Linked DNA regions of Lonchura striata. The protein of the gene in region 2 interacts with the protein of the main gene of each other region in a biochemical or structural test. Links are inferred from orthologs where the notes say so. Each region holds a gene or a part of one and is shown on either strand. Other genes may lie near its edges.

Evidence for each region.
Region 1: the proteins of CRYAB (region 2) and CRYBA1 form a complex in vitro, tested with the Homo sapiens proteins (2 studies listed by BioGRID and IntAct, with this or other methods). The link is inferred for Lonchura striata from reciprocal best matches to the Homo sapiens genes CRYAB and CRYBA1.
Region 3: the proteins of CRYAB (region 2) and CS form a complex in vitro, tested with the Homo sapiens proteins (3 studies listed by BioGRID). The link is inferred for Lonchura striata from reciprocal best matches to the Homo sapiens genes CRYAB and CS.

What each region holds. Positions count from the first base shown.
Region 1 is NC_134622.1:7,632,465-7,640,238, forward strand, and holds the start of CRYBA1 (beta-crystallin A3), read left to right. Parts: upstream 1-4,772; coding exon 4,773-4,985; intron 4,986-4,993; exon of another isoform or gene 4,994-5,043; intron 5,044-5,211; coding exon 5,212-5,262; intron 5,263-7,774. Other genes in the region: MYO18A (unconventional myosin-XVIIIa), read right to left, coding at 1-359. UniProt on the Homo sapiens protein: Crystallins are the dominant structural components of the vertebrate eye lens.
Region 2 is NC_134625.1:9,470,241-9,477,722, reverse strand, and holds the start of CRYAB (alpha-crystallin B chain), read left to right. Parts: upstream 1-4,470; 5' UTR 4,471-4,745; coding exon 4,746-4,943; intron 4,944-5,876; coding exon 5,877-5,999; intron 6,000-7,482. Other genes in the region: HSPB2 (heat shock protein beta-2), read right to left, coding at 1,078-1,529, 2,627-2,720. UniProt on the Homo sapiens protein: May contribute to the transparency and refractive index of the lens. Has chaperone-like activity, preventing aggregation of various proteins under a wide range of stress conditions.
Region 3 is NC_134629.1:5,565,514-5,573,308, reverse strand, and holds the start of CS (citrate synthase, mitochondrial), read left to right. Parts: upstream 1-4,793; 5' UTR 4,794-4,874; coding exon 4,875-4,928; intron 4,929-6,877; coding exon 6,878-6,925; intron 6,926-7,458; coding exon 7,459-7,566; intron 7,567-7,670; coding exon 7,671-7,736; intron 7,737-7,795. Other genes in the region: CNPY2 (protein canopy homolog 2), read left to right, coding at 258-373, 447-644, 755-922. UniProt on the Homo sapiens protein: Key enzyme of the Krebs tricarboxylic acid cycle which catalyzes the synthesis of citrate from acetyl coenzyme A and oxaloacetate.

The DNA.
Region 1 (7,774 bases), on a different chromosome or scaffold from region 2:
GCTGCCCGCTGCAGCACCGAGCCCTTGAAGTTGGTATCGTCCGCCTTGAGATCGTCGCTGGAGCTGGCCGTGCTCAGGTGGCCCGAGTCCAAGATGACGCTGCCCCGGTTGCTGTCAGAGTCAATATCTGTGAGGTGCAGCTCAGAGCCACTGGCCACTTTAATGGGGATGGGGTTGGAGATCTCCAGGCGGGTCTTGGAGTCCCGCTTGGAGGCACGGTTGAGGTTGAAGAAGCCCCGGCGCATGCTCATCTCCTCCAGGCTCTTGAGTTCAGCTGCTGACATTCGCTCCTTTTTCTCCTTCTTCTTCTCCTTCCGGGCCCCATCCTTCTCTTTGTCCTTCTTCATCAGGTTGAACATGGTGGATGGGGGCTCGGGGCACTCTTGCCCTCACGGCAGGGCACTGGGCTGGGGCGCCGGTCACAGCACAGCCGCCTGTGCAGAAGGACAGACAGGAAGGGTGCCATCAGAGAGCAGCATGCCCAACACCCACCCGCCACCCCTCCATCCACTGGTCACCCCAGCTGCCACCCCCAGCCCCTGAGCTGAGTATGTTCCAGCATTCCCACTCTCCCTGGGGACTGCAGCATCACAGGGCTCAGACTGCCCCAGTCCATGTGTCCTCGCCCTGGCTGGGCATCAAGCCCCAGGGATGCAACAAGGATGGCCCTGTACCCCCAGGGTTGCCCCAAAAGAAGCCCAGAAGCCTGGCAGTGCCTGGCAGTAGAGCTGACTGCAGGCAAGACCCTCAGCACCTCAAGAGCTCTTTTGGAGCAGCTTGGGTGGGCAGGGAAGAAAATATCCTGGTGGCTTTTGCAGCAGTTTCTGCTGGCAGGGACACTCCCCAGGGTAAAACCCCCATCCAATCCAACCACCAACGTCCTGCCTGCTGTTCAAAAGCCCCTTGTTGAGGAAACAGAGGCCTTTCTGCTGCTCATCCCAGCTCTGGCCACCGCAAACCACAGGGGCTGCCGTGGGCAGTGTCCCCACCAGGGAGGAGCCGGAAACACGGCCTGGAGCGAAGGTTGCTCTAATAAACAGGAACCTGTAAAATCACATCCCTCCCAACACTGATAAGTGTCTAATTTTAGCCAGGGCGACGCAGAGGCTCGTGACGCTGCCGGCGACCTCCAGGAACAGTGGCTCTTTCATTTGGGCATCCTGCGCAGAGCGGGGGGGAGCACCCAGTGCCAGTGGGAAAACCATGGCTGGGCAGAAAACACAGCTCCCTCCTGGAAAACCCCATGTGCACCCAGTGCTTGGGGACACCCCGTGCCTGGGGGCACCCACAGCCTCACCCTGCATGGGGTGTTACAGCACTCCTCTGTCCCTGGGGTAACAGGCAGCCCCCCCCAGCCTCCATCGAACGCTTGGGCTGTGGATAAACAACTCCAAAGTGGAGCAGGCGGCTGGCAGCACCCGCAGGACGGGCTGACAGCTATATATAACAGGGCAGGAAACTGCACAGGAACTTAACCTCAGCACAAAGGACAACAGGAAAGCTCCCCACGTTTGAAGCATCTGCTTTAGAGCTCTCCGACGGGTGTGGGGATGAGGTTTGGGCAGCCACAGGGATGAGCAGCGCTGCCCACGGTGGCAGTGCAGGCTCTGCCCGGGTTGCATGGATGTGCTGTTCTGTGCCAAGCTGCACCTTGGCTCCAGCACAGCATCAGTACTGCATCACCATCACTGCCTGGACCATCTCCTTGCAAGGGCACATGGTCTCCACTGTCCTTGAACACACCCAGTGGGACAAGGGAAACCCATTTTCCCCTTGACAAAGCCACACGGGGATGGCAGGGAACTCCCTGCCCCTCGGGGCTGGGACAGAAGCACATGTGCCCGAGAGAGGCCTGGCCACAGGGCAGGTGAGGACAGAGCCCTGCAAGCCATGGCACAGTGTTGGGTGTGTGATACCTCTGAGGCAGTGAGGGGAAGCAGCCTGAGGGACAAGGTCAGGCTTGCAGCTGCAAGGCTCCTGGCCATGGCCAGAAGGGCTGCCACAGTTGTGCCACACCACCCAGCCCCAGGGCTCTGGCTGCTCTGCCCTCCCTGCAGCAACTGGGGCTTGACTCAGACCCACAGCAGGACCTGGGAAGGGCAGAGCCCCAAAACATGAAAACAACCCGTTTCCTTTCTCCTCTCCCAGAACTGCTGGCAGTGGGGTGATCCCTGACCCGAACCAGGGGACAGGACAGCTCCTTCTCAAGACCCACATCAGGTGCTGCCACAAAGGGCACCATGGCTGTGCCATGCTGGGGGCTGCTCCCCTGTGCCAGGGCCTCAGCACAGACAATGGCAAGGAGGAAACAACCTGCACCTGCTCCTGTCCCCCCGCATGACACGTGCCACCACTCCCATAGCTGCTTGGGCATCCTTGAAGCTGTACAAAAGGGCTGCACCCCTGGGAGCACCCAGTGCTCACCCCACGGCAGGGAGGGGGCTGCTGGGATCCTTCTGGGGGTCCCTTGGAGCAGAGGCCCTCGCCAGGCAGGTGCTGGTTAGAGCCACGGCGCCAGGAGACAGGCGGCCAGCACGCTCTTTGTCCTCGGTGGTTTCTCTCCCAGCACACAGGCTGCCTCCCAGCCTTTGTACGCTCAACAAAAAGGGGGAACAGCGTTCCCAGCCGCATCGCTAATCAGGCAGCGCTGGCGGCCACTGCCGCAGCCACGTGTGCCCCACGCAGGGCCACAATGGGCAGCAGTGGGGCAGGGAGACTTGTGTGGGCTGGGGAAAGGACCGCAGCATCCGCCCTGCACCCATGTCCCCAGCCCGTGTGGAATGCCGTTGTGGTTTGCTCCCTTTTCCCCAAGAAGCCTCCCGCCACGGATGGGTGCAGCCCGATGCCGTGAGCAGGAGGTGGCTGCCGAGCGTCTCCTCGCTCTGATTCAGACCCAACTCGCCTTCCCTGACTCAGCCCGGGCTTGCTCCGGGACTCCCCTTGGCCAGGCGTGTTTGGGGCAGCGGCGTGCATGAGCCGTGACAGGGAAGGGAGAGGCACCCGCCGGCGCCGGCTGCGCTCCGGGATCGCACGCGAGGATGCTGCTGTGCCACTGGGCTGGCAAAAGACGAGGACGTCACCTTGGAAGGGCCAGATGGCAGAAATGGAGACACATCTCAACGCTCCCCGAGCCAAAAGTCCCCTCTGAGCCGCCCAAGCAGGAGCTGGATGCACCTTCCCCCATGTCCCCCCAAACAGCCGTGAGCCCCTGTGTCCCTGCCAGGGCGCCGGGGTGTTCCAGGCAGGGAGGAAGGCGTTCACTGAAACTCCCAGCCACTCCTTCCCTCCTCGAGACGCAATCTCGTCCGACACGCTCCCGCGCAGGGACCTGCACGGCAAGTTTCACGGTCGCCTGACCTCCCCGCTCTGCTCCCTGATGCTGGCAGCAGTAGAGCTGTGCTCCCACACCACTTTGGCTGTCCCCTCCTTGGGCACACCATGCTGGGGTACCTCATGCCCTGGCTATGCCCAGCCAGGAAGGGATGATGCCATGCCAGGGAGCGGGAGCTGCTGGCAGCGATTCCGAGCAGCCAGGCCAGCTCCTACGCAGGGCAAATGGGAGCTGACCTGCATGATGGCTCCTTACTGGACACAAGTTTTCCACAGAACAAGGAAATTTAGGGGGTTTCCAAATCTCTCTGCCTTCCCTTATGGACAACGCTGCAATGTGTCAAGAGGAAAACAATCCCGGATCTACCCGAGTCACAGCCAGGATGTGCCACCAGCTCTCCCCAGAGCAGGACTTCAGGCCCTCCTGCTGCAGGAACCCATGTCCAACAGCAAAGGGGACCCACACTGGTTACGAGGGGTCACCCCAGGCCAAGAGGGTGCATGGGGCGCAAGCACCTACCTTGCCCCAAAGCTGGGCAATGACACAGCTCAAGAGGTCTTACAGGGTAGACCCAGAGGTAGTGGGGCAGGATCTTGGCAGGGCTGCCAGGTGAGATATGGTTCCATAACCAGCTGGAGGGGTCAGGTGGGTTGCAGCCGCCTCAGCACAGCTGCCTCATCACCCTTATCTGGCCCCAAATTCACAGCCTGGCTCCCTGCGTGGCCCAGCCCACGGCAAAGGTGAAGGGCCGAGCCACAGCTCGTCAGTGAGCAAAGTCCAGGGCTGATGCAGGTGCTGTGGGAACACCCAGCTCTGGATGGCAGCTGAGATGGGACAGTGGGCAGTGGTCCCCCAGTGCCAGAGTGCCAGGGCCAGCCTTGGGGTGTAGGAATACACTGCCATGTGCCCACACTTTCCTGTAATTGCCCTAAGTTTAGCTCTGGCAATCGCTGACCAGACAATTTGCATTTCACAGGCCGGCTGGAAACCACACGATTTAGGGACGCGCGTCCCAGCCCTCGCCCGATGCTCCGTATATTCCTCTCCGGGAAAATTAACAGGCACTGGGGTGGGCACAGCCTTGAGAGCCGCCACCACCCCCAGCACAGCAGCTTGCCGAGTGCCACCCACCCCTGTCACTCTAAAAAGGTGGCTCAGGTGCCAGCGGCACCGGGGGATGCGGTTAGCGGCGAGCCGGGCTAATGGCTTGGGATGCAATTCCCCGGCGGTGTGGGAAAGGCCCAGGCCAGCGGCTTCTCCTGGAAGCGGGGCTGGCCCTGGGGACTCCTGCAGCGGGTGCTGGGCTACCCAGCGCGGAGCACCTGGCGCGGGGCCACCGCACGCAGAAGCACACCCTGCACAAGGTGACACACGCACACACACGCACGCAAACGCGAGTGACACCGGGGGCTGCACGGGCGCTGCCAGACAAGAGCGGGCCATGCGCACACCCACGCCCGCAACCGGGGGGCGGCACCGAGGGCTCCGCACCCACCCCGCCACCCACCTCCAGTTGTGCAACCGCGGGGGCACGGCGCAGCTCGGCCCGGCCCGGCCCGGCCCGCCGGGGGGGCGATGCCGCCGCGGCCCGCCCCGCGCCGGGCGGTGGTGCCGGTGCGGGCGGCCGGGGCCGGTCCCGGTGGCGTGGCGGCGGGTACTCACCCGGGGCGGCGGCGGAGCGGGGCCCGGTGGCGGCGGCGGCGGTGCCGGGCCCCGGCGGCGGCGCGGGGCGGGGCGGGGCGGGGCGGCCCCGCACCGGGGCGGGCACTGCCGGCTCTGCGCGCGCCGCCCGCCGCGCCGGGCGCGGCTCCGCTCGCCGCGGGGAGAAGCGGAGCGGAGAGGCGGTGCTGCCCACCCGGGAGCCCCGCTGAACCCCCTAGCCCGGCTGTAGCCACCGCACGGACCGGCGCCCGCAGCCCGGCGCGCAGCCGGTATCGCCGCAACCGCCCGCGCACACCGGGGGTGGCCCCGCAGCCCCCCGCAGACGCACAGACGGTGTGTGCGCTCCCCCGGTGTGACTCGGTGACACTCCGTCCATCCCGCACTCCCCGCACTCACACCCCCCGCCCCCCGATACACTCACATGTTGTGAGCTCGCCCTGGTGCTCACGCAGCCCCATCGCACAATGCACACACGCACTCCTGGGGTTCTCCTGTTCGGAAGAATCCCATCAGGAACAGCGCTGGATCCAGGCAGGGAAGGCTCCAGGCTGCCGGCTGGAGCAGGGTGATGGGTGCCTGCTGGCCCCAGTGCACGGAATACAAAGCTGGCCATGGCAGAGCTGGCTGTGGAGCCATTCTGCAGCTTCTCCCGCAGCACCTGTCCCCAGCGAGGGCTGTCACACTGACTGTGAGGACAGTGGCTGCTCTGCCCAGGAGACAGCCCAGGGTTAACAATGAGCATCTCCCAGCACAGCCAGCAGCGAGGGCAGCACAGTCTTTGTTACACCCCTTCCACTGGTGTCCAGCTTTGGGACGTCACGCCGTGGTTGGTCACGTACAGTGAGAATCCTGGGACAGATGATTTCAGGATAAGCTCTGCCATATGAGTGCTGGGACAACCTCCCTTCCTATGGGGTGTGGGAGCAACTGGGCCCAGGGAAGCTGGAGTGGAGCTTTGGGAACAGGGAACCCCGAGAGAGGTATCCACAAGCACTTTCCAAAAGCAATTTTCAGGCAGTGCTCAATCTCTGTTTGGGAAGCTCAGGGAGATTACAGGGACAGTCCCCTGCCCAAGGGGACTCTCTCCAAACCCCTGCTGCAATCCTACCGTTGCTGGCTGAGTTGTATGGTCCTGGCTCTCCTACCATCAGGCTGTGAGCCACTCTTGGGACACGCCTGTCTGGGTCTCACAAGCCCCACTCGCTCACAGAGGTAAAGCTGGCTGTGATTTCCAGCCCACAGCCCATGCCCAGGACACGGTCCCACAGCAGCAGCAGAGCAGGACACATGGGGCAGGGCAGAGCAAGCTGGCAGCTCAGCAAGGAGCACTGTGCTGGGCCCCGGCCCGAGGGATGCAGTGGTGGAGGAGATGCAGCCCTTGCAGGGGCGGAGGAAGGCGGCAGTGAGCACAGCCGCCTGCTTTTGTCACACTGTCCTTTGTCCCAGGCACGTGGCACCAAGTGCAGGGAGCCGCAGCCATGCGGAGAGCAGGGATGGGGTCGAGTGATCTGGAAGGGCAGCAGAGCCCGCCTGAGCTTTCAGGAGGGTTTTCCAGCTGCGGTGGCGAGGGGACACGCTGTGTGGCTGTACGTCTGCCCTGCTGCCCGTCACAGGCGGGTGAACAGCCACGTACAGCCTGTGGCAGCTCCTGCTTCCTTATCACGCTGGGCAGGTGGTGATGGGCTGATGCCGGTTGGAACTGCCGAGCTGTGGGACAGCACAGGGTCCCCAGAGCCACACAGCCCTGCCACCAGCAGCCACCCACTGGGGCCACTCTCCTGCCGCATCCCCAGAGCTAAACACCCTGTGTTTTCCAGCAAACTGACCAGCTGTTCCTGTCCACATGATCCCATCTGACTTTGTCAGAAACAGGTTGGGTCGCCCTGAGCAGCTCTCCCTGGCAGAGAGTTCCCCAGGCACCAGCAAATCCCACATCCAAGGAAATTCTCTGTGTTGCCCAGGGTTTTCTATGGAGAAGCAGGACAGAGCTCTGGTGCCAGTGGTATTTTGTGTACCCCTGGCAGGCGCACATGGCTGGCCAGGACAAGGGCCTGGAGCCGGGCTGGGAGGGGAAGCATCTGTTTTGCAGCACCGCGGGGTTCCCTAAATAGGTCACTGCATTTTTATAGTCTCTTGGATCTAGAAAAACCAGTTGTTCTGGACAACCTGTGGACCCGCCAGCATCACTGGCTCCCCAGGCACTTGCTGCTGTGCTCCCAGGTCCTTGGTGGGGACACCTGCCCCACCAGCAGGGTGAGGGGTTGGGGGGTCTGCAACAGCTTGGGCCATACTGGGGTCCTGTTGTCTGCATCCCCAGCCGTGAGCAGAGTTGGGCTGTGCAGGGGGGGCTTTCCCCCCACCTTGCCACTGTTTTGGGGTGGCTGCCAGCTCCAGGCTTTGCTCTGGGGTGTTTTTCAGCCAGAGACGGCTTTCCTGTTGCAAGGGGAGGCAGGTGTCTGTGCGGGGCGCAGAGGGGTGTGCAGTGCCACACACCCACCGTACAGCCGCTGGTGACCCATCCTGCTCGGGCTGAGCTCTCCCTCTAGTGGCACCAGGCTCCGGGCAAAGCCTCCACACAGCCGTGACCAGGGCATGTCCGAGGGGCTGGAGTGAGCTCCAAGCTGACCTCTCCCCTCGCCAGGATGCCCCCGGCAGGTGCACAGGGACTGTGCTGGGTAGGCTTCGCAGGAGCATCCCACCACCAACCCCCCACTTTGGCATCCTTGCAGAGGACAGGAGGTTCCGCCCTTCCCCTTCCCTGACCCAAATTTGCTGGGATGT
Region 2 (7,482 bases):
GGGAGGAATGTCAGGAGATGGCAAAGATTTCCAGAAGAGGCTCTTACCCCGAAATACGTTGGTTCAGCTCTCTTTATTCTGTGATGTCCATGTGGAGAGTGGAGCAAAAGAGGACGAACAGGAAATGTCAGGGGTCTGTACAGACTTTGGACAGGGTGGGCTTCCCTGGCTCTCCCTTGGGGCAGGAAGGAGGGTCCAGGGTTATCAGATTAGAGCCACAGGGTCCCAGGGAAGGGGGCACAGAGTGCCATGAGCTCACTGTAACAGCTGGGGTCTGAGCAGAGCCTCTCCCTTCAGTATTTTGGGTTCAGTCCCCTCACGAAGTTCTGTGTGTGAAGGATGTCCCATACCTGAAGGGCTGAGCAGGCACAGGCTGTGGCTGGGCATTAATTTGTGCCTCATTCACTCAGGCTCCTTCCAGCTGCAGCTCTGGGGATGCTCAGGGACCTTGCAAAGGCTGATCACTCCTCACCTTTTTGTCCTTGAGGTCACTTTTCTCTGGGCTCCCTAAACCAGCAGCTGGGCCAGGGGGTGAGGCCCAGAGGTGGCCACAGTCCCTCCATGTCCCCACGGTGAGCTCAGCCCCAGCTGGGCACTGTCCATCCTCCCTGCTGCACAGGAGCAACACCAATCCAAGGCAAACAGGAGCAGAGCAGAGGCAGGTTTATTCCTCTCTCCTCCTGATTGCTGCAGGCGCTTTTACAGACCAACACCCACCTTGCACAGCCAGGAATCTCAGCCTCCAGCTCAGAAACCAGGCACTGGGATCCCCTTTTCTCTCTTCCCAATACCCTTCTGGGCCAGAGCACAGTCCACTGAGACACAGCCTCACAGTTAAGGGTAGGAATGACCCTGGGGTGAGAGCAGAGCTCCCTTCATGGTCACCTGGCCTAGGAGAAAACTTGCATTACAGTCACTCACACTCACACTTCAGCCCCACTCTTCTTTCCAGTTCCAAGCCCCTTTTGTTCCCAGCATCAGCCTCGGGCAGCAGGAGCGTGGCTGCCTCAGGGCCCAGGGGTCTGGCACTGCGGATTCCCCATCCCTGTCCCCCCCACCTTCCCAGATCTGCGGCCTTTAGGATGTTTCCTTCTCTTTTCCTCCCTCAGCCTGCTCTTCTTCCCCCACTGGCCGCTCCTGCTGGGTTATCTTCACCTCGTTGATTCTCGCCTTCACCTCCTTGCCCGTCCGGGGAGCCACGATGCTCAGGATGCCATCGTGGGACAGGGTGGCCCTGACCAGCAGGGGATCCACGTCCAGGGGCAGGATGTAGGTCCTGGTGAACTCCCTGGAGACGAAGCCGTGGCGGTCGGCCTTCTGCGGGTGCTGCCCCACCACCTCCAGCAGGTTGTCCACGGTGCGCACGCTGAGCTCGTCGGGCAGGAACTGGCACACGTCCAGGAACACCTGGAACTTGTGCTCGTTCAGGCAGATCTCCGAGGTGCCCCTCTCCAGCTGCTTGTTGATCCGGGGCCGGATGTAGTAGCCGTGGTACAGAGCAGGGGCTAAAATCTCCGATGGGGACACACCTGCACAGGAGACTCAGTGAGGAGTTCCAGGGAATGGGGCTGCAGCAGCAGTTTGGGACCTGGAGAACACCTTGGCTCGGCCACATCCCCGCAGCAGGGGTGGAGTCTGCTGCAGTTCCCACCTTTGTGCCCCTAAAACCCACCCAGAGCCACGTCCCTGCCAGCTGCTGCGTGCCACCGAGCTGCCCAGAGTGCCGGCGAGCCCGGGGCTGGCATCCAGCTTGACATGTTGGGCTGCATGGGGAGAACCTGGCGGGTGCCCTGGGAGCTCTGCAGAGCAGAGCCCGCAGCCAGGGGTGGGCATGGAAACTGCTGATGGTGAAGAAACCGCCCTGAAGGGCTAAAGGCCTTTTGTGTGCCATTGTCCACAGGGCTTTCCTTGGAGCTTTTTGCCTTTTCACGCTGTTGTGCTGGTGCTGAATGGTTCTGCTGCTGCCCACATTCCTTCCCCTGGGCCAGCCATGCCCAGCTTTGTGCTGAACGCCCCAGCTCAGCTTTTCTCCACATCCCCCCGGCTGGAAAAGCTTCCCCCCCTGCCCTGAGCTTTGGCTCCATGTTTGCACAGCATGTGCACGAATGCCAGAGCGTGGCTGGCATGAGGGAGGGACGGGACGGGCAGCAGTGGGCATGGATGGGGAAGTGGACATGAAGAGAGAGATCCTGGCTGTTCCCTGGCTATTCCCTGGCTATTCCCTGGTTATTCCTTGCTTATTCCCTGGTTATTCCTTGCTTTTTCCCTGGTTGTTCCTTGCTTTTTCCCTGGCTATTCCCTGGCAATTCCTTGGTTATTCCCTGTCTATTCCCTGGCTATTCCCTGGTTAATCCCTGGCTATTCCTTGCTTATTCCCTAGTTTTTCCCTGGCTATTCCTTGGTTTCTCCCTGGCTATTCCCTGTCTATTCCCTGGTTATTCCCTAGATATTCCCTGCTTATTCCCTGGCTGTTCCCCTCTGATTTGCTCTGGGTTCCTCCACTCAAAATTCCGCAGCTCCAGCTTCCCCCTCTGGAGCTCAAGCTCCCCAGTGGGAATTCCAGCAGCCCTCCAGCAGCAGAGGGGAGAAAGGTGCAAAGAGGGGGGGATCCCACCAACTTCCTTACCTTCTCCAAAGTTCTGGTCGTAGATCTTGCTGGGGTTGGCAAACTCGTACTCAGAGCTCATGGGGTAGGCGTGGGGCACCGTGCGGGCAGCCATGGCGTGTGCAGGATGGGCACCTTCCTTCTTGCTTTCCTTCTTTCCTTCCTTCTTTTCTTCTTTCCTTCCTTCTTTCCTTCCTTCTTGCCTTCCTTCCTCTTTCCTTCTTTCCTTCCTTCTTGCCTTCCTGCCTCCCTTCCTTCCTCCCCAGCCCTCGCTGCCTCTCCGAGTGAAGGCTGCAGGCTGCCAGGCTCCAGCTGGGAGGATTCCAAAGGGAGGAGGCAGTGATAAAAAAGATGGCCCAAAATAGCCCCGTGCAGGCCCCAGGACGCCGGGCCAGGGCGGCGAGGGAAGATTCTCACTGCATTCCAGCAGGGAGGGCAGGGGACACCTCGGGGACACCTTGGGTACACCTTGGGGACACCTCGGGGACACTTCAAGGACACCTCAGGGACATTTCAGGAACACCTCAGGGACACCTCAGGGACATTTCAGGGACACCTCGGGGACCCTCTGGGGGTCCCTTCTGGAGCAAGGGTGCATGGGCAGCCCAGCCCAGCACTCAGGGCTGAGGGAGCAGGACAGACCCCAGGCTGTGGCCACCGAGAGGCTCCTTGGGGTGGCTCAGGGAGCCCCTGGCACTGGAATCGGTGGCCCTGAGCCCCCGTGGGTGGCTGGGGCTTGTTCAGCTCAAACCCCTCCTGTTCCCCACGTAAGAACCCTGCTTTGCCCAGCTGAGCTCAACTCTTCTGCTCCTTTAGGGCTGCAGGGAGTGGAGCAGGGATCCAGGTGCCACTGCTGTCACCTCCCCATGCTGAGCCCTGCTGGCTGCCCAGCCTCTTCCCTTGGCCAGGCCACGGAGAAATGCTGCTGCCAGCCATCCCCAGCTCACCCAGGCTCCGAACCTGGCCCAAATCCAGTTTTGCTGAGCAGGGCTGGTGGGCTGCTGGTGCTGCAGCAGGGCAGGAGTGCCCAGCTGGGTTCTGCACGCCCTGAAACCAGAGATTCCCTGAGCCCTGCAGGGTGGGAGAGCAGGTGCAGTGCTGCTGATGTGACGGGGACTCGGAGAGGGTATTTATGGCCTGGGCTGCTGCACAGAGCAAATCCTGCCCTCTATTCTTGCAGGCAAGCCGAGAGGAAGAGGCTCAGAGCCTTTTGCAAAGGGTTGGCAGAGCTGGCAGTGCCTCTGAGCCAGAAACTGGGTTTAAATTGTGAGCTCTCACGGGCAGAGAAGCTCTTGCCCTTCAGCAGAAGCCAGGCTGAACCCATTCCTGTGATTTGGGCTCACGGGCGAGGCAGGAATTAAAGCAAATGCACGGATTTAGGAGCAGAGCTGCAGGAAAGCAGGTTAGGCAGAGGCAGACAGAGGTGCTCGGCACCCCTGGGTGCAGTACAGTGCCCTGGAGGCCGTGACCATGCCCAGCTTCTCTCTGGGGTCACAGCGTGGGGCTCTTCCCTCCAGAACAACGCGCTCCGCAGCGGCCAAAAGACAAGAGGTGCTGGTGGGGAGACCCATCCTTTATTCCCACACACCACGAGGGCGGCAGGGCTGCACCCTGCAGTGCCAGGATCCCAGCAGAGCCCTCCTGGCACCTCCCTAGCCCCGATTTCGGGGCTCCCTTTGCCGCCGGGACCCGGCGGGTGATGCTGGAGCCGAGTCCCGGGAACAAGGGCCCCTTGTCGCCGTCCCTGTGAGCCAAAGATAGGAGCTGCATTGATCCCGCTGGCATGCAGGGCAGCTGGAACACGGGCCAAACCCGCCCGGGACTGTGGACAAACAGCACGTGGGCAGCGGGGCGGGCGCCGGGCCACTGCGGCTTCTTGCTGCCCCATTGGGCTCCTCTTCTTCCTCTCCCCTTCCCCCTCCTCCTCCTCCTCCTCGGCAGCGTGCACAAATCCCTCAGACAGCTACTGGGCACCGCCGAAGGGCCCAGCCCAGGAGTGGGACAATAAAATCCCTGACACCACTGTTCAAGAGGCCTCGGGGGGGTGGAAGGCCAGGCCAGCTGCGGGGTATAAAGCTGTCCCCGCTCCCGGCACGGCACTGCAGCACAGTTGTTGGCCAGGCTCCTCCAGCGCTCTCCAATGGATATCACCATCCACAACCCCCTGATCCGCAGACCTTTCTTCTCCTGGTTGGCACCGAGCCGTATCTTTGACCAGATTTTCGGGGAGCACCTGCCCGAGTCGGAGCTGCTCCCTGTTTCCCCCAGCTTCAGCCCCTTCCTGATGAGATCCCCCATCCTTCGGATGCCCAGTTGGCTAGAGACAGGACTCTCGGAGGTAATCTTTGCTTCTTTGTGGCTGCTGGGGGCACAGCCTGCTGGCTCTGGAGGCCCAGGAGAGCTGAGAGCTTGGAAGATGCTCCTAGGTGTTGTTTTTTTTTTTTTAGGAGAAAGGCTGGGGGAAAAGGTGCTGTGTTTGCACCTCTGCATTGCTTGGGATGGAGCAAGTCTGGCCATAGCGATGGGAACAGAGCTCAGTGTGCGTGGCAGATCACCCTAGGAGCTGGCAGAGCAAAGGAGGAAGCCTAATTTCCCTAATTTCCCTAATTTCTCTAATTTCCCTAATTTCCCAACCCGCTGCACCAAACTTTCAATCCCACTCCCACATGAGAAGCAAAGAGCACGGGGGCAGTGGGATCCTCACGCCAATGGCTGCTGAGGGAAAAGGGGCCTATTTCAGACAATCCCTGCCCAGGAAAGCAGCTTTTTAATAAAATCCAGGACCCAGAGGATCATGGAGCAGGCGCCTACTCCCTCCAGGGGCTGAGCCAAGAGGCTTTTGCCTGTCCTGCAAGTCAACTGTCTTATTTGCAAGGAGCTTGAGGAGCTATTCCAAGCAGAAGGAGTGAAAGTATTATTTTAATCCTTGCATAATGTCTTTCTTGATTTAGTGACCTCGGTCTGGCTGCCTAGTGAAGCAGCCAAAATAAAGAGTCAGCTTTAAATAAAGAGGCAGTTTTAACCAATTCTGGTGGAGAATCTCAGGTCCTGAAGTGATGGGCATTAACACAAGGCCAGCAAGGGACAGAGCCACTCAGATCAGATCCCAAAATAAGGGTCAGTGTGTGTGTGTATGTGTGTGTGTGTGTAGAGACCAGCGTGAGTCTTGACCTACTGCATTCCTTTTTAAGCTGAAACCCTCACCTGATCTTCCCTGAAGTCACCTCCTGGTTTTTGCTCTTCTCTGAAGTCACCTCCCACTTTTTTGCAGATGCGACTGGATAAGGACAAATTTTATGTGAACCTGGATGTGAAGCATTTCTCCCCTGAGGAGCTGAAGGTGAAGGTGCTCGGGGACATGATCGAGATCCACGGGAAGCACGAGGAGCGCCAGGTACCCCCTGCTTTACCTTCACCACCGAGGGAGTCACTGTGAACTCCCTCCCCTCTGGTGACTGCCAAACAATCCCCTGCTCACCTCAAATATTTGTCATTTTTTTAGTCAAGGTGCTCCATGCAATTCCCCCCAGCTGATCCCAGACAGGGCAGCAAGAGGGTGGAGGTTTATTGCTGATGTTGCATGAGCTGTGAACTGAACTGGAAAATCATCTGTGAAATGGGCATTTTTGGGCTTCCCCTCTTTCTGGGAAGAGGCCAGGAATGCAGGGAGGCGTCCAACGAGCTAAAAATTAACTCTATCAATCAAGCCACGTAATGAATCCGTGCATTGCCCTGTGTGTTACCTTCCCCAGGCCCAGCTAGCAGTTTCTAATCCTTCAAAGTTGTGTTCTGCTGCCATCCATCCCTCTCCCTGCTGGCTCTGGAGACCTGTGTGGACACTGGGCAGGCAGAAACGCAAAGCCGTGCCCAGAGCTGGATGTACCAGCATTTTCCAGTCCCCAGAGCAGCTGTGTCCCTGGAATTGGCACCCCTAGGAGCACAGCGTGCCACCAGGGAGTGCAGTGCTCCCTGTAGCACTGGGGTCTGTGATCCTGGCACCTTCCTGGCATCCTTTTTGGGCTAAGATAAGCAAGCAGTGGGGTCAGGCTTTGAGGTCTCCGGGGCAGGTGTGGTTGTGGACAGCACCTCGGGAATGCCAGCACAGAGCTCAGGGCAGCCTCTGGCTGGCACAGGGGTTGATCTAGTACCGATATCCAACTGTGATGGACAAAAACTCTCTAACAGTTTAAAGTTAGAGAGTGAGTGTTTATTGTGTGTGGGATCGCTCCCAAATCCACATTGTGCCTTACAAGTGATTACAGAGCCCTTTTATCCATACAAGTATTGAATATTTAAAATATAAATACATATTCATCATTTTGGTACATCCCATTCCTCGCTTCCTATGCTAATCATTTCAAAAAGTTATTAAGCATGCATAATTTGTTTCTTGGAATGGGTCGGTGTCCCTTCCATGGGGAGGGGTCCCAAAATGAGGAAGTCAATGAAGTCTTCCTCCTTCTGACCTTTCTACCTTTTCAATGCCAACATGACAAATGAACTTTTGGTAGAACTCCCATTCCTTGTCTTCAGTTGGTTTCAGAGCAGAGGAGGCCCACAATTGTCTGATGTTCCTAAAAGCAATTTATCAGTTTATATTCTTCATTATAAACCCAGCTAACTCAACATTGTGCTGACGAGCAATCAGTTATTAGTTAACTACTAACTCTTAACTTCATCGAGGCCTACTCATTTATTTTAATTAACTCTAGTGAGGCTTATCTCTAACTAAAATCTTAGCTCCTCTAAAATCTCTAAATCCCTTAAAGTTTCTGTTTCAGGGTGGGCACAGAACCTCCCCCTGTAAACTCGGTGTACCCACAGGCACCTGCAGCCCAGGCAGTGTCCTGCTCTCCTTGAAGAGGACACCTCATCTC
Region 3 (7,795 bases), on a different chromosome or scaffold from region 2:
AGCAAGGCAGGACAGAGGGACAGTCCAGGGTGGTGGCACAGGGCTTGGGGATATCCACTGGGACCAGCTGGACCCCCAATGTCCAGAGGGACAGGCTGAGGGTCTCAGGCCGTGGGGACTCCTCCCGCACACCATCCCAGCGTGCCCCAGTCACACCAGTCTGGCCGTGGGCAGCCACAGGAGCACCGTGCCAGGTGCCCCATGTCACCGTGTGGAGCACCATGCCAGGTGCCCCATGTCACCGTGTCCCCTCCCAGCCTGCCGGGCGCTGGTGGACGAGCTGGAGTGGGAGATCGCCCAGGTGGATCCCCGAAAAACCATCCAGATGGGCTCGTTCCGCATCAACCCCGACGGCAGCCAGTCGGTGGTGGAGGTGAGGCCTGTCCCGGCGTCCCGGCTCCCGGCGCCGCTCCCGGGGCCCGCGCTCAGCCCCGCCGGGGCCGCAGGTGCCGTACGCTCGCTCCGAGGCGCACCTGACGGAGCTGCTGGAGCGCGTGTGCGAGAAGATGAAGGAGTACGGGGAGAGGGCGGACCCGGCCACGCAGCGCAAGAGCTACGTCCGCGTCATCTCCCACGACGGCACCAAGATGGACCTTGCCGGGGTCAAATTCGACGGGGACGTCACCTCCAGCCTGAAATTCGCGGTGTGTGAGGGGACAGGGGGGAGGCCGTGGGCCGGCGGCGTCGCCGTGTGTCGCCGTGTGTCGCCGTGTGTCACCGTGTGTCACCGTGTGTCGCCGTGTGGCCGTTGCAGTGCGAGAGCATCGCTGAGGAGTACGAGGACGAGCTGATCGAGTTCCTGTCGCACGAGGCTGAGAACGTCAAGGACCGGCTGTGCAGCAAGAGGACGGGTGAGATGGGGGGCCTGGGGGGCTCTGCTGCTGCTCCCAGGGCCGGGGCTGCGCCGCTGGTGCTGGGCTGAGATGAACTGAAGTGAAGTGAGATGAAATGAGCCGAGCTGAGGTGAAATGAGCTGAGCTGAGCTGAGATGCCAGCCCACAGCAGGAGCTGCTTCTGAGGGTCTCTCCTGCTGTTCTTGGGGTCTCTCCTGCTCCATCAGTGCTGGGATGGCAGGAGATACCAGCCCAGAGCAGAGGCTGTTCCCGAGGGTCTCTCCTGCTGTCCCTGGGGGTCTCTCCTGCTCTTCTGGGGGTCTCTCCTGCTCCACTGGTGCTGGGATGGGATATGCTGCCAGCCCAGAGCTGGGGCTGTTCCAGGGGGTCTCTCCTGCTCTTCTGGGGGTCTCTCCTGATCCGTCACTGCTGGGATGGGAGAAGATGCCAGACCAGAGCTGGGGCTGTTCTTGGGGGTCTCTCCTGCTGTTCCTGGGGGTCTTTGCTGCTGTTCCAGGGTTTGTGGCTGCTCTGTTGGTGCTGGGATGGGATTTTCTGCCAGCCCAGGGCAGGGTCTGTCCCAAGGGTGTCTCTCCTGCTGTTCCTGGAGGTCTCTCCTGCTGTTCCAGGGGTCGTGGCTGCTCTGTCAGTGCTGGGATGGGATTTTCTCCAGCCCAGAGCAGGGAGGAGCTGCAAGTTCTTCCCCAAATCCCAGCACCCCATCGCAGAGCCCGGAGCCTGCTGGCACCGGGGTTGTTTCGGGATGCTGGGGCCGAGCCAGGGCAGCTGCTGTGCTGACTCTGTGGCCTCTCCTGGCACATCCAATGGCCCTGTCCCACTCTGGGGCTATTTCCAGCTCACAAACACCCAGCTCAGGGCACGGGGTGACCTTTGGGGCCCCGCAGTGCTGGATGGGGCAGGTCCCTGCGTACCTGGCACGGCTGTCAGGGCGGTGCTGTGCCCCAGGGGGATCCTGAGGGTCTCCACAGCTGCTCCCGGGGCTCCTCCTGTGGCGTGGGGGCTGGAGCAGGGACAGGCCAGGCTGTGGCTGTGTCCAAGCAGCCGCATTTGTCATTAACCACAGGACAGAGGCGGGGAAATGCCGCTGGCCCGGCTCAGGGCACAGCGGGGAGCGGTCCTGGGAGGGGACAGGGCAGCAGGGGGGGTCCCACGGGGCTGGGACGTGTCCTGGGGGTCCCATGGGGCTGTGATGTGTCCTGGGGGTCCCACAGGGCTCCAGCACTGGGGGTCCCACGGGGCTGGGATGTGTCCTGGGTGTCCCACGGGGCTGGGACGTGTCCTGGGGGTCCCACGGGGCTGGGACGTGTCCTGGGGGTCCCACAGGGCTCCAGCACTGGGGGTCCCACGGGGCTGGGATGTGTCCTGGGTGTCCCACGGGGCTGGGACGTGTCCTGGGGGTCCCATGGAGCTCCAGCACATCCTGGGGGTCCCACGGGGCTCTGATGTGACCCGAGGGTCTCACAGGGTTGTCATATCCTGGGGGTCTCGTGGGGGTCTGGTGCACCCAGAGGGTCCCACAGGGCTCCAGCACTGAGGGTCCCACGGGGCTGCTGTGTCATGGGGGTCCCATGGGGGTCCAACACATCCTGGGGGTTCCACCAGGGCTGCCTTGTCCTGGGGGTCTCCTGGGGGTCCCGTGGGGCTCCAGCACATCCTGGGGATTTTCTGGGGGTCCCGTGGGGTTCCAGCACATCCTGGGGGTCTCCTGGGGGTTTGGTGCATCCTGGGGGTCCCCCGGGGCTCCAGCACACCCCGATTGTCCCCCCTCGTTTGTCCCCGCAGACCTGTGTGACCACGCGCTCCACATCCCGCACGATGAGCTGTGACTGCTCCGGAGCGGGCACCGGGACCCACCGGGACCCACCGGGACCCGCTGGGACCCACCGGGACCCGCTGGGACCCACCGGGACCTGCTGGGACCCACCAGGACCCACTGGGACCCACCAGGACCTGTCAGGATGGCCCCGGGACCCTCCGGGACCCACCGGGACCCGCCGGGACGGTCCTGGGACCCACTGGGACCCACCAGGACGGCCCCGGGACAGACGGATCTACCGGGATCTCCATGGCTCCGGAGCTGCTGCCTCGCCCCGTTCAGAGCTCCCATCCTGTTTATTCCCCGTGGGGGCCACCGGGACGGCCACGGGGCCACCGGGACATTTCAGGGACATTCCTGCCCGGTGCCGGGGGACGCGGGGGACGCACCGGGCTCAGCCCCCGCGGGGTGGGGGTTTGGGAGCCCCCCTCCCTTTGCAGGCAATAAAGGGGCCATGGGCCCACCCGAGGCAGCCGTGCTCCCGTGGGTGGGGTGGGGTGGGGGACAGCAGCGTCCCCACGTGTCCCCGTGTGTCCCCACGTGTCCCCACACGTCCCCGTGTGTCCCCACGCGTCCCCACATGTCCCCACGCGTCCCCGCTGGCTCGGGGGCAGCGCTCACCCCCGCGGGGCTCAGCCCGTGGCTCTGTGTCACTCCGTGTCACCCCAAGTCCCCCGCTGCAGGGCCACCACGGGGGTTTGGCCCCACGTCACCCCCGTGTCACCCGCCGTGGGGTGCCGGCCCTCCGGGGTGTCACCCGGTGTCACCCGGTGTCACCCCACCCCGCCCGTGCGCAAAGGGCGCTGGGAGGGTTCTGGCCTCTCTGCCATGGCCCGTGTCACCTCATGTCGTCACCTGGCCCGGGGACAGGAGCAGCCGCAGGGCTCTGCCCCTCTTCGGCACCGCCGCCGCCGCGTGTCGCTCAGTTGTGTCACTCCGTGTCGCTCGGTTGTGTCACTCCATCTCACTCGGTCTTGTCACCCTATGTCACCCCGTGTCACCCCATCATGTCATTCCATGTCACCCCATCGTGTCACCCCATCGTGTTGCCCCATTGTGTCACTCCATCATGTCAGCCCCTGTCACCCCATGTTGCCCCATGTCACCCTATTGTGTCACCACCCCGTGTCACCCCATGGTGTCACCCTATGGTGTCACCCTGTGTCACCCCATGGTGTCACCCCATGGTGTCACCCTCTGTCACCCTGTGTCACCCCATGGTGTCGCCCCATGGTGTGACCCTCTGTCACCCCGTGTCACCCCATGGTGTCGCCCCATGTCACCCCATGGTGTCACCCTCTGTCACCCTGTGTCACCCCATGGTGTCACCCCATGTTGCCCCATGGTGTCACCCTCTGTCACCCTGTGTCACCCCATGGTGTTGCCCCATGGTGTCGCCCTCTGTCACCCTGTGTCACCCCATGGTGTTGCCCCATGTCACCCCATGGTGTCACCCTATTGTGTCACCCTGTGTCGCCCCATGGTGTCACCCCATGGTGTCACCCTCTGTCACCCTGTGTCACCCCATGGTGTCGCCCCATGGTGTCGCCCTCTGTCACCCTGTGTCACCCCATGGTGTCGCCCCATGTCACCCCATGGTGTCACCCTATGGTGTCACCCTGTGTCGCCCCATGTCACCCCATCGTGTCGCCCGTTGCTCCGGGCTCAGCGGGGACTCTGACGTCACCACCGCCCCTCAAGCCACATCCAATCGCCCCAAGCCACGGTGGCCACATGCGGGATGACGTCACGGGCTCCTGTGACCTCATACCGCCCGGCTGCGCGTCTGTGACGTCACGGGGCTGCCCCCACCCCCGCTGCCGAACCCCACCGGGACACCGGGCCGTGACGTCACGCGCCGCGGCCGGTGACGTCACGAGACGGGGCGGGCACCCCCTCACCCCACCCCTGGCCCTGATCAGGCGAATGCGGCGGCCACCTATAGCCTGCGCCCCCCGCCACTTCATTAGCGTGGCCCCGCCCCGCGGCGCGCCGCTTGGCCAATAGCAAACGGCTCTGCCCCGGGAGGGGGCGGGGTTATGCTAATGAACAGCGCCGCGCTCCGCCCCGCCCTCACGTTGAGGACCCCCGGCCGCCGCCGCTCCGGCCCCGCTCCCGCCCCGGCCCCGCTCCCGGTCCCGGCCCCGCTCCCGGTCCCGGCCCCGGCCCCGTTCAGTCCCGGCCTGTCCCGCCCCGGTACCGCCATGACGCTCCTCGCCGCCGGCAGCCGGGCGGCCGCGCGCCTCCGCGGGCCCAAGGTGAGCGCGCCCGGCCCGGCCTCGCCGCGCCTTAAAGGGGCGACGCCGCGGGGGGAAGGGAGAGCGGGGGGGGTCCGGCTCTTAAAGGGGCGACGCGGGGGGCGCTGCCTTAAAGGGGCCGCGCGGCGGAGGGGGGGATGGGACCGGGGGGACCGGCATCGCGACCGGGACCGGCACCGGCATCGGGACCGGGGTGGGCGCGGGGCCGCGGCCGCAGCACGTGGCGGCAGCCGGCGCCCGGCGCTCCCGCCGCAGCCTTCCCGGAGCCGGGGGTAACCGGGAGTGGCTCGGGGGGGCTCCGGTTCGTGCCCGGGGAGCTCCGCTGGTGCCTCAGCCCCGTGCGGGGGTCCCCGCCCCGGGGCAGCCCCGCTGGCGGTTCCGGTTCCTCGCTGTGCAGCGCTGGGCTTGGGGGGTCCGGGACGACCCCCGGGACCCCGCGCCCGGTGGCACCGGCAGTGGGGGGGGTGGAGGCGGGGACCGTCCCCTCCGCCGCCGCCCTTCCCCAGCGTCCCGGTGCCGTAGAGGACACCGGGGTCACAGCGGGAGGACCCCCGTGCTAGCCGAGCGCCGGTACCGGGCCGGAGCGGCCCCGACCCCTCCGTTCTGTTTGGCTTGGCCGCGGCCCCGGCGTTTCGTAACGGGCGTTGCGGTGTCTTTATCGACCGGGCGATATTTTGGGATATTCGCCATGCCCCACTTGGCCCTGCTCTCCCCTCAAAACGGGCGGACCGGAGCCGCCCCCCTGGCTTGAGCCGTGATCCCGGCCTTCCTCCTCCTCCTCCTCCTCCTCCCCGCACCCCCGAGCGCAACGGGAGCCCCGGGACGGTCCCGGTGTGGCCCCGCGCTCCCCCCCCGGCCGGTGCCCGGTGTCACCGCCAACACGTGTGACCTTGAGCCAGCGGCACCTCGGTGGCAGCGGGACGAGCCGTGGGGACCCCCAGAACGGGGCGACACCGGGGGCGACACCGGGGCTGGCACGGTGGGGGTGGCGGGGCGGCAGCGGCCGCCTTGACCTTGGGCTTCTCGCTGCCGCCTCCATTGTTCCGTTTCCCGTTCCCGGAGCCGCCTGTTGCGGGGGAACGCGGCCTCGCCACCCGCCGCGGCCACACCCGGCACACCGGGGACCCCCGCCCGGGCCGGGGGACACCGGGGGACACCGGGGGGCTTCTCTGCAGCGCGGCCCCGCCGCGTCCTCCCGGCGGCCGGCGGAAAAACCGAGTCATGTTCCGGCTCTGCCGCAGGCGCTGCCGCAGCTGCGGCCCCGGGAGCTCCGGGCGTCCCTGGGGATGGCAGCCCCGGTGTGCCCCGGTGTCCCCCGGTGTGCCCCGGTGTCCCCCGGTGTGCCCCGCTGTCCCCCGGTGTCCCCCGGTGTCCCCCGGTGTGCCCCGGTGTGCCCCGGTGTGCCCCGCTGTCCCCCGGTGTGCCCCGGTGTGCCCCGTGCCAGGCCTGGGCTGTGTTCCCGGGGTGTCCCCGCCGGGCCGGAGTCCCCGCGGTTCCCGGTTCCCACGCGTGGGCGAGGAACAAAGTTCGGATTCCCCGGCTCAGGAAAACCGCCGGGCGCGGCTCCAGGAAGGAGAACGCGGCCGCGTTCCCCGTGCCAGCTCCGGCCCCGGCTGCGAGGGCAGCACGGGGCTGATCCCGGCCGCTCCCGGTCCCGCTGCTCCCGGTCCCGCTGCTCCCGGTCCCGCTGATCCCGGCCGCTCCCGGTCCCGCTGCTCCCGGTCCCGCTGCTCCCGGTCCCGCTGATCCCGGTCCCGCTGATCCCGGCCGCTCCCGGTCCCGCCGTTCCCGGTCCCGCTGATCCCGGCCCGGCCCCGGCCCCGCCGTTCCCGGCTCCGAGCCGCGCCCGCGTGGGCGAGTGAAGCGGCTCCGGCGTCCCTGGGAGCCGGGTCTCAGCCTCGTGTGGCTGCCCCGGTGACAGGGGGGTCTCTGTGTCCCTTGTCCCGCAGAACGCTCCGTGTGTCCTCCTGGCCGCTCGCCACGCCAGCGCCGCCACGGTAAGGGGACAGGGGGGTCCTGTCCCGTGAGCCCGGTGCTGTCACCCGGTGCTGTCACCCGGTGCTGTCACCCGGTGCTGTCACCCGTTCTCCTGCCTCTCCTGAGACCCTCTCCAAGGGGATGCCCGTCACTTGTCATCCTCTTTCCTGTCCCAGTCTCTCTTGTCACCCTCTTTGCCATGAACCCCTCTCCTGTCAGCCCATCCTGTCACTCTGCTCTAATGGGAGTTCCCTCTCCTGTCACCCCCTTTCCTGTCACCCCCTCTCCTGTCACCCCCTCTCCTGTCACCCCTCTTCAAGGGGAGCACCCTCCCTCATCACCCTCTCTCCTGTCCCCCCCTTTCAGCCCCTGTTCTATCACCCCTTCTCCTGTCCCCGTTTCCTGTCCCTGTCTCTGTTGTCACCCTCTTTCCTGTCACCCCTCTCCACGGGGAGTCCCCTCTCAGCTGTCACACCTTTTCCTTGTCCCTCCTCTCCTGTCCCCCCCGTCCTGTGCTCAGCCCCGGTCTCACAGCCCTGTCCCCTGTCCCCAGAACCTCAAAGACGTCTTGGCCACCATGATCCCCAAGGAGCAGGCGAAGATCAAGAGCTTCCGGCAGCAGCACGGCAGCACGACCATCGGGCAGATCACGGTGGACATGGTGAGTGTGTGGCCAAACCGGGGTCACCGGGGCCACACCGGGGCCAAACCGGGGCCACCGGGCCCTGCCACCGCCCCTCACTGCAACCTCCCGGCTCCCTCCAGGTGTACGGCGGCATGAGGGGCATGAAAGGGCTGATCTACGAGACCTCCGTACTGGATCCTGACGAGGTAGGGCCCCGTCCCCCCTGTACCCCCTGTCCCACCCCACCCCATCCCCCTGTCCCACC